Anolis sagrei: one gene and its partner. The protein of the gene in region 1 binds, or shares a complex with, the protein of each later gene. Links are inferred from orthologs where the notes say so. Each region holds a gene or a part of one and is shown in the gene's direction. Other genes may lie near its edges.

Region 1 (7,976 bases):
TTGCTCTCCTCCCAAGAAGTAAGCATCTTCTGATTTCCTGGCTACAGTCTGCATCTACTCTAATTAAATAGATGCCTTTGCCACTTCACAATGGGAAATTAACAAAAGCTGCACTATACAAGACATTCAACTATGAATTCTTACTCATTTTACTAGATGAGATTCTCCTGGAAAAGCAGCCATCAGTAGCAAATTAATTACAATCTGAAAAATCAATCTTGTGATGGCCCTAAGTGTGGAGAATACAGAGTTTGAATAGCTAGATTAAGGGACAGAATTTCATCTTTTAGGTCCCAGAGGAAATTAGATTATTGATGCTGCGGGCTATCTTGGCAATCACATTTCTTCATCGCTCTTGCAAAGCAAAAACATGGTTTCTACCATATTGAGTGAGTGAGATATTACTGTTAAATGGTGTCAAGTAGATCAAAGATGGACTAAATGCAAGTTAATAAAGTTGAGTACAGATCAGACAAATGGTGGTAGCCTGAGTAAATCAATTGCATAAGAAAATTACTTTGAATGGAATGGGCACCAGAATGAAACTCAGACTCAATTTGATCATACATGATCTTGACTAATTTTGGAAGCTAAATATCAGCTCTATTTACACTAACCATTTAATGCAGTTCCAGACTGGCATTGAAGAAAGTGGTTTAACTGTGCAGATAATTACATAGGAACCCATTTGAGGACTGAAGGATGATCACACAAAACACAAAGAACGGATGCCAGAATTGGACTGGATGGCTTTGTGTTCACTTCCAACTAGGATTCTACAAGTTGCCTCCAGCTCTAGCATTTGTGATCCCTGTCCGCCTGAAATGATGATGGAAATTTCTCCCTTGTTCATAGCTCTAGATCTACAAAACGACAAATCTTTATTTTCTCCAAGTAATTAGGAGCAGTTCTCGCTTTGGCTCTGCATTGCTATGACAGATGGGGCCGTGTGCATCTCGCATCTCTATGAGTCATTGGAAGTACCAAGAGAGACATCATTCCTTTTCTCCTGACGGCCTCATTGGGGAAAGAGTGCTGATGTGCCGAAATGGACGTGGCATTTGATTTAAAGGTGCAGCATCCAGCACTCCATTCCAATCATCACATATGGCTCTAAGAGCCAGAAAGATGGGTCTGTACCAAAGTACGTGTTGGAATCTAGTTTTGGAAGTTTGTCAAATATTTTTCAAAGAAGGTGGGGGGGGGGGGCAGTATGTACAAAATAAGAAAATGAGAGTAAATGCACACAACTGATTAGATGCCCACATTCCTGACACAAGTAGAAAATATGTGTTTTTAAAAACATACAAAGATTATTATATCATAGTGATAATTATATCATAAAATCTGAAACAATCAGACAATTTAAGATATAAAGCTCCTTACTCATTTGGGGATGGAACTATGAATTTCAAAAATTATATGAATATGCTGTTCCTTTTGTACCTGCTCATAAATGAGGCAAAGGGATCCTGAATGATATAACATGTTCTAATGACTGAAACCCCATCTACATTAACTTATGATAAAGTTTCAAACTGTATTGTATGGCAGTGTAGATGGGACCACTGTTCTCAAATTACACTATGTAACAAAATTTGAGAAATTTTCTGTTCCTGGCTTGAAAGTGCTATTTCCTGTTTAATTGTGCAGTATTTACATTGAAAGTAGTTGTTATACTCCGGAAACTATGTTGAATTGGTTGAGACTTGATACAGAACCATAGAATCCTTGAACTGGAAGAGACCTCATGGGCCATCCAGTCCAACCCCCTGCCAAGAAGCAGGAAAATAGCATTCAAAGCACACCTGACAGATAGCCATCCAGCCTCTGTTTAAAAGCCTCCAAAGAAGGAGCCTCCACCACACTCTGGGGCAGAGAGTTCCACTGCTGAACAGCTCTTCAATCATTGAAAAACTACAGCAAATGTGCTGCAGGATGACCTGCCAAAACAAAGTTTTTGCAGTTTAATAAACCTTTTCCATTTTTTATGATAGAACCAATTAAGAAATGACATTTATAACCCAGGTACAAAGTGTTATCAAAGCAATTCCTAATTCAAGCTGGAACTGCACTTTTTGGAAGACGAGTTGAGTATTCCGCATTCTTTATTTATTTCATGTCAAAAGAATTGCATAACTAAGTATAAAACTGATAAAAACAGAGGGTACACAAGTGGTTAAATAATTTTTGACCAAAAACAGGCAACAGCGACCACATTGCCTGTAGCTTTAAACAATTCTTCCTCTGTGCATGTGACAGGGCATTGTGGACAAGCATACAGATGCAGAGTCGTTTGTTCTGTTCCAGTCACACAAGGTGGATTCTTCTAGGCCAGTGGTTCTCAACTTTCCTAATGCCACGACCCCTTAGTACAGTTCCTCATGTTTTGGTGACCCCCAATCATAAAATTAATTTTGTTGCCACTTCACAACTGTAATTTTGCTATTATTATGAATTATACTGTAAATATCTGATATGCAGAATATATTTCCATTCATTAGACCAAATTTAGCACAAATACCCAATACACCCAAATTTTAGTATGGGTGAGGGGAGGTTGGAAGGGATTGATTTTGTCATTTGGGAGTTGTAGTCACTGGGATTTGTAGTTCACCCACAATCAAAGAGCATTCTGAACTCCATCAATGATGGAATTGAACCAAATTTGGCACACACAAGTCCCATGACCAGCAGAAAATGCTGGGTTTGGTGGGCATTGACCTTGAGTTTTGGAGTTGTAGTTCACCTATATCCAGAGAGCACTGTGGATTCAAATAAATGATGAATCTGGACCAAATTTGACACAGATACTCAATATGCCCAAAGGTGAACACTGGTGGAGTTTGGGGAAAATAGACTTTGACATTTGGGAGTTGTAGTTGCTGTGATTTATAGTTCACCTACAAAGAGCATTCTGAACCCCACCGACGATAGAATTGGGCCAAACTTCCTACACAGAACCCCCATGTCCAATGAAAATACTGTGTTTTCTTATGGTATTTGGCGACCCTACTGACACCCCTCGCGACCCCTCAAGGGATCCCGACCCTCAGGTTGAGAAACACTGTTATACGTGGTGCCATTTTGCCAGGTTGTCTTTATATCTGCCTGCCCCATTTCTAAGACTCTTCAGAGACTTCCAAGTTGCCCATTCTTGATTTGCTCCTGGAGGAAGACCCTCGGGGGGGGGGGGGCATCCAGTTGGAATTGCCTGATTTTGAAACCCAGAGGGATACTCTTGCTGTTGCTGGGGAAATGTTAAGAAGAGTGGTGGTTCTCATGAATCCTCTCACTGATTTGAGTCTACTGGAAGGAGGTTGATAGCCATGCAGAGGATGGCTTTCAGTGTTCAACCTCACAGTTAGGAGCAACTTTCCATCGCACATCAGGGGGTGGAGGGGGGGGCAATGTCAGCTAGCTTTTAGAGTTTATCAACAGGTGTAGGTTTAAGATATCCTGTGATTATTCTGCATGTTTTATTCAGTGCTGTATTCACCTGCGTCGCGTATACAGACTTGTGCAAAACTGGGCAGGCATACTCAGCCGATTCTGCGTTCTACATGCTTGGTACCAGAAGTGCTTTGGAGGATGATAATGATTGTGGAATACCTTTAAACATAATGGAACTGAAGACTAAATGCAAATTCCATTTATGTTTCATATATGCCTTATATGCATAGCGCTCTACGTGGGGTTGCCTTTGAAGACTGTTCAGAAACTTCAAATTGTCCAGCGGGCGGCAGCCAGGTTGCTAACTGTAGCAGTGCTCAGGTAGCACACAACTCCTGTTACGCCAACTCCACTGGCTACCAATTTGCTACCGGGCACAATTCAAAGTGCTGGCTTTACCCTATAAAGCCCTAAATTGTTCCAGCCCAGCTTACCTGTCTGAATGTATCTCTCCCTATGAACCATCTAGGAACTTAAGATTGTATGGGGAGGGCCTGCTCTCAATCCTGCCTTCTTTGCCTTTGGCGGGGATGAGGGACAGGGCCTTCTCAGTGGTGGCCCCTCGGCTGTGGATCTCCCTCTCTAGGGATATTAAAACCTAGCTCTTTGAATAAGCCTGGAAGTGCAGTGCAATAGACAAGCACGGAAGTGCAGTGCAATAGACAAACACGGAAACATGGAAAGACTTAGACGATGCTACTGGAGAGTGAGATTAACAGGAAGACATTGGTTATTATATGTTTTTAAAGGTTATTGTATTGATTTTATAATGATGTTTTCAATGTTTTAATTGTATATTGTGGATTGTGATGGCATCGAATTGCTGTCAATTTGTAAGCCGCCTTGAGTCGCCTTCAGGCTTGAGAAAGGTGGAAGAGAAATATCATAAATAAATAAATAATAGCTTGAAATTAATTTCATACACTGTATTTTAAAATAATTTGGGGAACGAAACAAAGTGTGTGCCTATTGAACTCACAGCAGCCATTTCCTTTCCAACACGTTATGCACTTGACAAAGAGTTGTTACTTAAGGGGGCCTCTACACTGTTGAATTAATGCAGTTTGACACCACATTTAACTACCATGGCTATGGAATCCTGGTAGCAGTAGTTTGGTCAAACAGCAGCTCTCTTTGGCAGAGAAAGACCTTGCAAAACTACAATTCCCATAGTTTCATAGCACTGGGCATGCATGGGGTGTCGAACTGCATTAATTCCACAGTGCAGAAGCAGCCTATGTTTGTGGACCACTTTCCTTACACATATAGTAAATACAATGAGAGGGAGATCGTGACAAGAAAAGACCAAAGCTGATCCAGCTTAACAAGAAGAGGAAGAAAAATGCCTTCAATCCGCAAAATGAAGTCTACAAAAACACTCCCCACCTCCCGCTGGGCGGAAATGTTTACTGCGCAGGCGCGTCCGACTCTCGAAGAATTCCGAACCCAACGAGCCGCCGTCCACTCGCTGGCTGGTCACGTGGACACAAGTCAGCTGACAAGGAAGAGCTGGTGTTTTGCGGAAGAGGCTCAGTCGGTCGGCGAGATGGAAGGCGCACTTGAGCACCATTTGGAAGACACGTAAGCCTGGAGTTCGCAGTGCCCATCAGCACTATGGACTGGGGACGGGCATGCCATTCGAGCCCTGCTCCCAGGAAGCTTAGAGTGCATCTTCACTATAGAACTAACGCAGTTTGGGGTCATTCTAACTAACTTTGGTGAGGCACCAGCCCTCTTTGCAGAGAAGGCTAAGAGGCCATGGCAGCTAAAGTGGTGTCAAACTGCATTAATTCTAGTGTAGATCAGGCGTGGGCAAACTTGGGCCCTCCAGGTGTTTTGGACTTCAACTCCCACCATTCCTCACAGCCTCAGGCCCCGTTCTGAAGCGGCTGAGGGGGAAAAGGAAAGGGCCTGAGGCTGTTAGGAATAATGGGAGTTGAAGCCCCATGAGGAGCGGCCTAAAGAGCTGGGCATGTTTAGCCTGCAGAAGAGAAGGCTGAGAGGAGATACGATAGGCATATATAACTATGTGAGAGGAAGTCATAGGAAGGAGAGAGCAAGCTTGTTTTCTGCTGCCCTGGAGACTAGGACATGGAACAATGGATTCAAACTACAAGAAAGTTGGTCCATCTGAACATGAGGAAGAACTTCCTGACTGTGAGAAATATTCAGCAGTGGAACTCTCTGCCACAGAGTGTGGTGGGGGCTTCTTCGTTGGAGGCTTTGAAACAGAGTCTGGATGGCCATCTGTCGGAGGTGCTTTGAATGAAATATTCCTGCTTCTTGGCAGGGGGTAGGCTGGATGGCTCATGAGGTCTCTTCCAATTCTATGATTCTAAGTCCAAAACACCTGGAGGACCCATGTTTGTCCATGCCTATGCTAAAGGAGCCCACCCTCATGTCCTGCTGTATCCTCTTGTATGATTCATGCGGAGATGAGCATGCTAACCTCTTCTCCATAGAAGTGGATGGAGGAGGGACAGACTTCATAGCTATTACAGCTCAAAATCAGGGTACAGCCGACTGGCTGCTCTCTGTATCAAGAAGCCCAGACTCTCTGCACAGGATGCATGCAGACAGGGAGGGGGTTACATCAGCTTGCCATGTGGGAGCCACTCCACGCTCTGCCCCCCCCCCCCCCACCAGTTTGCACACACCACCGCCGTGGAAAATTACACAACCTGCCAATAGGGAGCCCCACACACTGCAAGGAACAATTTCGCGAGGTGCATCAACACTCTGGACTGGATGCAGCTTGACACTACGTTTCCTGCTATGGGATCTTGGGAGTTGAAGTTTGGCAGGGCTTGTAGACAACATTAAAGCATGGCAGTGGATGCGGTGTCAAAACAGTGGATGCACTCCAGCAGCAAGGAATGGGAGGAACGGTGCGAGTTGAAGTCCAAAAGTCCAAAACACCTAGAGAGACCAAGTTTGCCCGTGCCTGGTGTAGATGTAGCCCAACAATCAGGCACTATACCACACTATCACTCTCCTCTAGGGACCAATTCTTATTATATGCTTATTATTGTTGCTTTTTCGTTGTTCTGTCCCACCTGCTGGATGTTTCTGATCCCTTCTGTCTCCTCCTTTCCTAGAATGAAGAATCCCTCCATTGCAGGAGTCCTGTGCACTGATTCCCAGGGACTGAATCTGGGCTGTAAGTATTTTGGAAACTCTCTTTCAGTCCAAGTGAACTGTCCTGTATTTTTAAAACTAATTTATTTTCCTTTTCAACTATCGATCATTACCTTCTAGGTCGTGGCACTCTCTCAGATGAACATGCAGGTGTGATATCGGTTCTAGCCCAGCAGGCAGCCAAATTAACAAATGATCCCACAGATATCCCTGTAGTGTGCCTTGAGTCAGATACTGGGTAAGTGTGCTCTGTTACTTACCTACTTCACCTCATTGCATAAATTTGTTGGAACTCAGCCAAGTCCTGCACAGGTTTATAGTCCTCATCAAGTTAATAAGATAGGTAGATGAGTTAGCAGGCAGGGAAAGCTCTTCCCCCATTGCTTTGTCTTCCCCTCTCTCTCGTTTTCTCCTATTAGTTTGTTAGACTGATGCTTCTCAGGGACACACCTCTTTTTATTCAAAGTTTCTAGCCACATGCAAGCCCCCCCCCCCCCTCCAAGTCCTCCAATTTTTTTCTTCTGTCAGCATGAAGAGAGACAAGATGCATGCAGAGATAGGTAAGTTAGATAGCTAGGCCCTAACTTTACTATATAGAAATGTAGTTCTTTGAAATGTAGTTCTTTTATAACTTGACTCTCTTCCTGTATTTATGAAACTCATTTTCCCTACAGCTATGCACAAGAAGCTTCTGATCTGCTAAAAACTACTGCTGTTGCTTTACCATTGCATATGCTTTTTCATTTTTGAAATTACCCAACAAAATTACTTTCTGATGGATTGATATGTGTAACCTGGTAAACATTTGCTGCTCTTTAGCTTTCATGTCACACACAAGGAACAATTTCTGCATCTGGTCTTTGTTTCTTAGAGACATAGGACATCAGATTATTTTAGCTGAGTGCTTCCATCAGCCCCACAGAGCATGGAAATTATTATTTTTCCTTTTTTTTACATGTTAGGAGCAACTTGAGAAACTTCTGGTGTGAGAGAATTGGCTGTCTGCAAGGACATTGTCCAGGGGACGCCCTGGTGTTTTGATGTTTTACCATCCTTGTGGGAGGTTTCTCTCATCATTAATGAAGTTTAACAAAGATGTTGCTCTCCATCATATACTTACTTGAGCATGCTATGGATGTAGGTTGGTAGGGTACAATCTTTCTAAATAAAGGAACCTTATGGTTTTTAACTTTTAATATGTTTTAATGGTTTTTAACTGGGAATTTTTAATATTGTTTATATTTAATCCTGTTTTAATTTTTGCACATTGGTATATTTTAAATTGTATGCTAATGCTCTACATTGAGCAGCTTTGAGACTCCTTTAGGAGAGATAAAGCAGAGTATAAATAAAAATAGTACATAAAAACTTAGTAATTGTACTTT
Region 2 (7,485 bases), on another chromosome or scaffold:
TGTGGAAAGAAGAATGAATGAATGAATGAATATATATATATATATATACACACACACACACACACACACACACACACACACATTTCTTTCCTACCCAAACAGCAGGCTTTTAATGTAATATCTTCCTTGAATTTTTGATTTAATATCTTATTAATATTATTATTATTATTATTTTGGGATCTTTCAATGGTTTCTCTTTTGCAAAACACGCATGCAAATCCTTCTCTTCAACCCAAACACACATTTAACATTAATTAACATTCATAATTAATATTAGAAATTCATGCACCGAGTTTGTTCATAGGCTTCCGAGGATCGTGCCACTAGCTTTAAAGTGGTTTCAAACTGGGTTAATTCCACCGTGTGGACGCTTAAACTGCTGAGCTGCTGAACATGCTGACCAAAATGTAGGCGGCTCGAATCCAGCGAGTGGGGTGAGCTCCCACTGTTAGCCCCAGCTTCTGCCAGCCTAGCTGTTCAATAATATTTTCACAAATCCCGATGACATCTAGACTTATTATTATTATTATTAGGCCGCCCAGTAGCGCAGCGGGTTAAACTGCTGAGCTGCTGAACTTGCTGACCAAAACGTAGGCGGCTCGAATCCAGCGAGTGGGGTGAGCTCCTGCTGTTAGCCCCAGCTTCTGCCAACCTAGCAGTTCAGAAACATGGAAATGTGACATTGATTGATTGATTGATTGATTGACTCTAAGCTGCACCAGTTGCTATGGAATTCCACGCAACGGGACTCCGGCCATGTTTTCCTTTTATGACATCACATAAAAGTCTTGATCTGTGGCAGTCGGGCCCCGATCGGGCCTTTGCCATGCAGGGCCTGCCGTGGTGTGGGCTCCTGTGGTTCTTCTGCCGGCCTGCTTGGGCCGCCCGACACATAGTGGACAAGCCGGACAACTCCGCTGCCGGGCTGAGCTGGGGGAACGTGGTCGTGATCTTCGCTGTGGTCTTCCTCTTGGCTTTGGGTGTCAAGTGGCTGCGGGACAGGATCCTCGCCGAAGGGGCCAACAAAGCAAAGGTGATTCCTGGGTGGCCTCCCTCCCTCCTCCTGGGGTATCCGCACCGGGTTTTAGTCTGAACTTTACGAGCCCTAACGATGGTGCTTGTAACCGTACTGTATGCTTTGAGAAATAAAGCCTTTCCAGACTGTCTTTGAGGTAATTTCTTCTCTGCAGATGAGGACTATCCTCATCATCTTGCCTTTCCTTGCCGCTCGAGGCAGGGTATGTCAGAGTTCAGACGTTGCCCAGCGGAAGGAAGGCTAGATCAGCAGACACTGAGTTGCAAAATCAGGACTCCGCAGGCTTTGAGTTACAAAAGAAACTAAGTTTACTAAGCACATTCCACAGACACGTCTTACTACAGCGAGCTACAATTCAGGAAGTAGTACGGTTACAAGCAAAGTTCCATCTGACAGTTGCTTTCCTTCTCAACCCATATAGAGATATATGGGTTGAGAAGGAAAGCAACTGTCAGATGGAACTTTGCTTGTAACCGTCCCCTTCACAGCCCTATTTCTCTGTGGTTCACCTGGGCCCCCAAGTCCTTCTCTACGGGTGTTGCAATCCCACCTGGGCCCCCAACTGAGTGCCCTCTTTGCCCCCGTGTCCAGGAGGGCTGTCTGTCCGGCGAAGAGACCCTGGAGTGCCGTCTCTGCCAGAGCTTCTCCCAGATGGAGCAGGAGCTGGTCAAGCAGGTGACGCTGGTGCGCAACCTCAAGGCCGACCTCTCCTCGCGCCACAGCACCTGCACGGTCCCCGGGTGCCAGCGGGGTCAGCGGAGCCGCAGCGGCAGCAGCATCGGAGCCTTTAACCTGGTGGTCTACGACGTGGCCGAGGAGAAATGAGGACACAATACCAGCATGAGAAAGCAGCCAAGTGGCGTCCGTTGCTTCTTACCCTTTACTTGGGGGAGGGTTCTAGACCAAATGTGTCAGAATAAATATTTATTTATTTATTTATTTATTTACAGTATTTATATTCCGCCTTTCTCACCCCGCAGGGGACTCAGGGCAGATCACAATGCACGTATACATGGCACATCTTCGATGCCACACAACATATATAGAGAGAGATACAGAGGCTATTTACACCTAATAGGCAGTAAGAGCACCTAAAGCTTCTGAGAGCTTCTGTTCAACCATCTCAAAGCTCCCTGCTTGGGCGGTGGTGGCACGATCGTCAGCATAGATGAAACTCTCCATCCCTTCTGGCAGTGGCTGGTCATTTGTGTAAATGTTAAACATGAGGAACTGTATTTAGAGGCAATAAGAAGACTGAGAAGTCCGAGAGCTTCTGTTCAATCATTGCAAAGCTCCCTGCTTGGGCAGTGATGGCATGATCGTCAGCGTATATTAAACTCTCTGTCCCTTCTGGCAGTGGCTGGTCATTTGTGTCAATGTTAAACATGCATGGGAGCAGGCCGTTCTTCAGTTTCTGCCATCTGCTTCTCTGGCCCTGGAACTCAACAAAAAAGCTCCTGTTTTGTAGCAGATTTCCTATGAAGTCCTTTTTTATATTCTATGTTCTTCTCTGCATTTTATATGGAATAGAAATCAGTCAATTTTCCCTGTAATAGACAGTAAGAGCACTTAAAGCTTTGGAGAGCTTCTGTTCAACCATTACAAAGCTCCCTGTTTGAGCGGTGATGGCATGATCGTCAGCGTATATCAAACTCTCTGTCCCTTCTGGCAGTGGCTGATCATTTGTGTCAATGTTAAACACGAGGAACTGTATTAAGAGGCATTAGGAAGGTTGAGAAACACTGACCTAAATCTTCGGAGAGCTTCTGTTCAACCATTACAAAGCTCCCTGCTTGAGTGGTGATGGCACGATCATCAGCATAGATGAAACTCTCTCTCCCTTCTGGCAGTGGCTGGTCATTTGTGTAGATGTTGAACATGGATGGGGCAAGCACGCTCCCCTGAGGCAGGCCGTTCTTCTGTTTCCGCCACCTGCTCCTCTGGCCATGGAACTCAACAAAAAAGCTCCTGTTCGGTAGCTGATTTCCTTGAGTGGTGATGGCACGATCGTCAGCATAGATGAATCTCTCTGTCCCTTCTGGGAGTGGCTGGTCATTTGTGTAGATGTTGAACACGAGGAACTGTATTAAGAGGCATTAGGAAGGTTGGGAAACACTGAGCTAAGGCTTCGGAGAGCTTCTGTTCAACCATCTCAAAGCTCCCTGCTTGAGCGGTGATGGCACGATCATCAGCATAGATGAAACTCTCTGTCCCTTCTGGCAGTGGCTGGTCATTTGTGTAGATGCTGAACATGGATGGAGCGACTCGCTCCCCTGAGGCAGGCCGTTCTTCTGTTTCCGCCATCTGCTTCTCTGGCCCTGGAACTCAACAAAGAAGCTCCTGTTTTGTAGCAGGTTTCCTATGAGGCGGGTGAGGTGGTCGTCCTTTGTGATACTATACATTTTTCTCAGGAGGAGGCAGCGGTGGTTCACAGTCTCATAGGCTTCTGACAGGAGGTGGTGAAAATCAGGGAGGAATAAAGCCAGGCAGTTCAGGTGCCGCTCTAGGCCCCGCTCCTCGTCTTCTCTCCATTGTCTATATGAGGGAGAGGAAAAGAGACGGGCGGGCTAGAGCGGAGCGGAAGTGTTGCCTGCCGGAAGTGTCCGTCTGGAGAGGAGACTCCATTTCCCGGCGTGCCCCGCGGGATTGTGAGGGAGGGAGGGAAGAAGACAGCCAAACCATAGAGATCTCAAAGCCCGGCCCTTCAGGTACCGCTCTAGGCCTCACCCCTCGTCTTCCCTCCATTGTGTATCTATGTAGATAAGAGAGAGAGGCGCGCGGGCTAGAGCGGAGCGGAAGTGCTGCCTACCAGAAGTGTGGGTGTGGAGGGGAGACTCTAAGGAGGGCGACAGCGGCGGCCATGCAGTTCAGGTCCTGCTCTAGGCCCCTCGCCTCGTCTACCCTCCATTGTCTATATGGGAGAGGAAAAGAGACGGGCGGGCTAGAGCGGAGCGGAAGTGCCTGCCTGCCGGAAGTGTCCTTGTGGAGAGGAGACTCCATTTCCCGGCGTGCCTCGCGGGATTGTGAGGGAGGGAGGGAGGGAAGAAGACAGCCGAACCATAGAGATCTCAAAGCCCGGCCCTTCAGGTGCCGCTCTAGGCCTCACCCCTCGTCTTCCCCCCATTTGTGTATCTATATAGATAAGAGAGAGAGGCGCGCGGGCTAGAGCGGAGCGGAAGTGCTGCCTGCCGGAAGTGTGGGTGTGGAGGGGAGACTCTAAGGAGGGCAACAGTGGCGGCCAGGCAGTTCAGGTGCCGCTCTAGGCCCCTCGCCTCGTCTACCCTCCATTGTCTATATGGGAGAGAAAAAGAGACGCGCGGGCTAGAGCGGAGCGGAAGTGCTGCCTGCCGGAAGTGTCCGTGTGGAGAGGGGACTCCAAGGCCTGGCCTTCTCCTCCTCTTCCTCCTCCGGGTTCTCCTCCTTCTCCTTCCGAGAGCGATGCTTCGCCCGAAGGCGCTCACGCAGGTCCTGAGCCAGGCCAACACCGGCGGCGTGCAGAGCACCCTGTGAGTGTCTCCCTCGATTAGCTAGGCCTCACTTCCGGCCTCTCTAGGAACGCCTCTCCCTCCATTCGCAGAGGCCTAGTCCTCACAACAAGAGTCATAATAGTCATAATAATAATAATAATAATAATAATAATAATAATAATAGAATCCTTCCCTTCTATCATCATAATAATACTAATAAGAGTGGGAGTGAAGGAGCCAGCCCCCACTTCCGGTGTGGCTTGGACTACATCTCCCAGAATCCCCTCTGCCTTGTCACCCTCCTCCTCCTCTTGGGCTTCTTGGGGGCCAAAGTTAGGATCACTTGACTGTATCTATCCACAAGGGAAACATATTATTATAATAGTATTGCTATTATATTATTTACTATTATTATATTGTATATTTGCAAGGGGAGGAGTATATTAGTATTTTATTATTACTATTACATTATTATATTATATATGTAAAAGGGAAGAATTACAGTATTATTATTATTATTATTATATTGCGGTATATATTCGCAAGGGAAGTAGTATATTATTATTATATTACTATTGCTATGACATTATTATATTGTATGTGTACAAGGGAAGTATTACATTATTATTATTATTATTATTATATTACTGTATATATTTGCAAGGAAGTAGTATATTATTATATTACTATTATATTACTATTACATTATTATTATTATATTACTGTATATATTTGCAAGGAAGTAGTATATTATTATATTACTATTATATTACTATTACATTATTATTATTATATTACTGTATATATTTGCAAGGAAGTAGTATATTATTATATTACTATTATATTACTATTACATTATTATTATTATATTACTGTATATATTTGCAAGGAAGTAGTATATTATTATATTACTATTATATTACTATTACATTATTATTATTATATTACTGTATATATTCACAAAGGAAAGATGATATTATTATATTATTATTGTTATTATATTATTTACTATTATTATATTATATATGTAAAAGGGAAGAATTACAGTATTATTATTATTATTATTATATTACGGTATATATTCGCAAGGGAAGTAGTATATTATTATTATATTACTATTACGTTATTATATTGTATGTGTACAAGGGAAATATTACATTATTATTATTAGTATTATTATATTACTGTATATATTCACAAGGGAAACATTAGTATTGTTATTATATTATATATGTACATGGGGAGAATTACATTATTATTATTATTATTATTATTACATTATGGCATATATTTGCAAGGGAAGTAGTATATTATTATTACATTACTATTGCTATTACATTATTATATTGTATGTGTACAAGGGAAATATTACATTACTGTATATATTCACAAGGGAAACATATTATTATATTAGTATTGTTATTATATTATTTACTATTATTATATTATATGTGTACAAGGGAAGAATTGCATTGGTATTATTATATTATGGTATATATTCACAAGGAAAGTAGTATATGATTATTATAATATTATATTACTATTACTATCACATTATTATATCATACAATATATGTAAAAGGGAAGTATTATATTAATTTATTTACAACATTTATGTCCCGCCCTTCTCACCCTGATTGGACTCAGAGCGGCTTACAAGTTATTTGTACATACAAGATAGTATATTATTATCATAACAAAATATAAGTAGTATATATTACTATATAGTACTATATGTTGTTATTATTATTATTGCAGTTATTATTGTGATGCTATTATTATTCTGATTATTGTTCCCAGGCTGCTGAACAACGAGGGCTCGCTGCTGGCGTACTCGGGGTACGGGGACACGGACGCGCGGGTGACGGCAGCCATTGCCAGCAACATCTGGGCCGCTTACGACAAGAACGGCCACCAGGCCTTCAACGAGGACCACCTCCGCTTCATCCTCATGGACTGCATGGTGCGCACGCCGGGGCATGACTCCTCAGAATCATAATAGCAATAATAATAATAATAATAGCAATAATAAGGGTCTCAGAAGCAGGATGATAACAATAACAATGCATTTCTCAAAAGCAGGATGATGATAATAATAAGGTTCTCAGAAACAGGATAATAATAATAATAATAATAATAATAATAATAATAATAATAATATTTTTTTATTTATCTTGTCAGGAGCAACCAGATTATTATTATTATTATTATTATTATTATTATTAATAATAATGATCTCATATGCAGGGTAATAATAATATGGTTCTCAAAAACAGTATCATAATAAAAATACTCAAAAGCAAATAATTATTATTATTTATTTCTAGTATTTGTACCCCGTCTCTGAATTTTATTTTATTATACATTATTATATTACTGTACGTATTCTCAAGGGAAGTAGTATATTATTATTATATTATTATATTACTATTACATTATCATATTATATATGTACAAGGGAAGTAGTATATTAGTATTACTATTATAGTACTGTACATATTAGCAAGGGAAGTAGTATATCATTATTATATAATTATATTACTATTACATTATTATATTATTTAGGTACAAGGGAAGTAGTATATTAGTATTTTATTATTATATTACTATTACTATTGCATTATTGTATTATGTATGTAGAAGGGAAGTATTACATTATTATTATTATATTACTGTACATATTTGCAAGGGAAGAAGTATATTATTATATTATTATATTACTATTACATTATTATATTGTATGTGTACATAAACAAGGCCGCTACCATCACAATTACAATAATATAAACACAATCAAATACAAACATCATCATAATAATATTCTTGAAGCAGGATGATAATAATAATAATAATAATAATAATAATAAGGTTCTTGAATCTGCATAAGAATAATAGTAATAATAATAAGGTTCTTGAAAGCAAGATAATAATAATATTAACAACAAGGTTCTCGAAAGCAGGACAATAATAATAATGTTCTTG

The links. Proteins that work in one complex are often made in the same cells at the same time.
Region 2: LAMTOR5 (region 1) and LAMTOR2 share a complex: the UniProt entries of both Homo sapiens proteins name them as parts of the ragulator complex. The link is inferred for Anolis sagrei from reciprocal best matches to the Homo sapiens genes LAMTOR5 and LAMTOR2.

The regions. Positions count from the first base shown.
Region 1 is NC_090024.1:183,624,099-183,632,074, forward strand, and holds the start of LAMTOR5 (ragulator complex protein LAMTOR5), read left to right. Parts: upstream 1-4,918; 5' UTR 4,919-4,999; coding exon 5,000-5,034; intron 5,035-6,551; coding exon 6,552-6,613; intron 6,614-6,711; coding exon 6,712-6,829; intron 6,830-7,976. UniProt on the Homo sapiens protein: As part of the Ragulator complex it is involved in amino acid sensing and activation of mTORC1, a signaling complex promoting cell growth in response to growth factors, energy levels, and amino acids.
Region 2 is NC_090032.1:22,562,166-22,569,650, forward strand, and holds the start of LAMTOR2 (ragulator complex protein LAMTOR2), read left to right. Parts: upstream 1-4,383; 5' UTR 4,384-4,474; coding exon 4,475-4,542; intron 4,543-6,303; coding exon 6,304-6,466; intron 6,467-7,485. UniProt on the Homo sapiens protein: As part of the Ragulator complex it is involved in amino acid sensing and activation of mTORC1, a signaling complex promoting cell growth in response to growth factors, energy levels, and amino acids.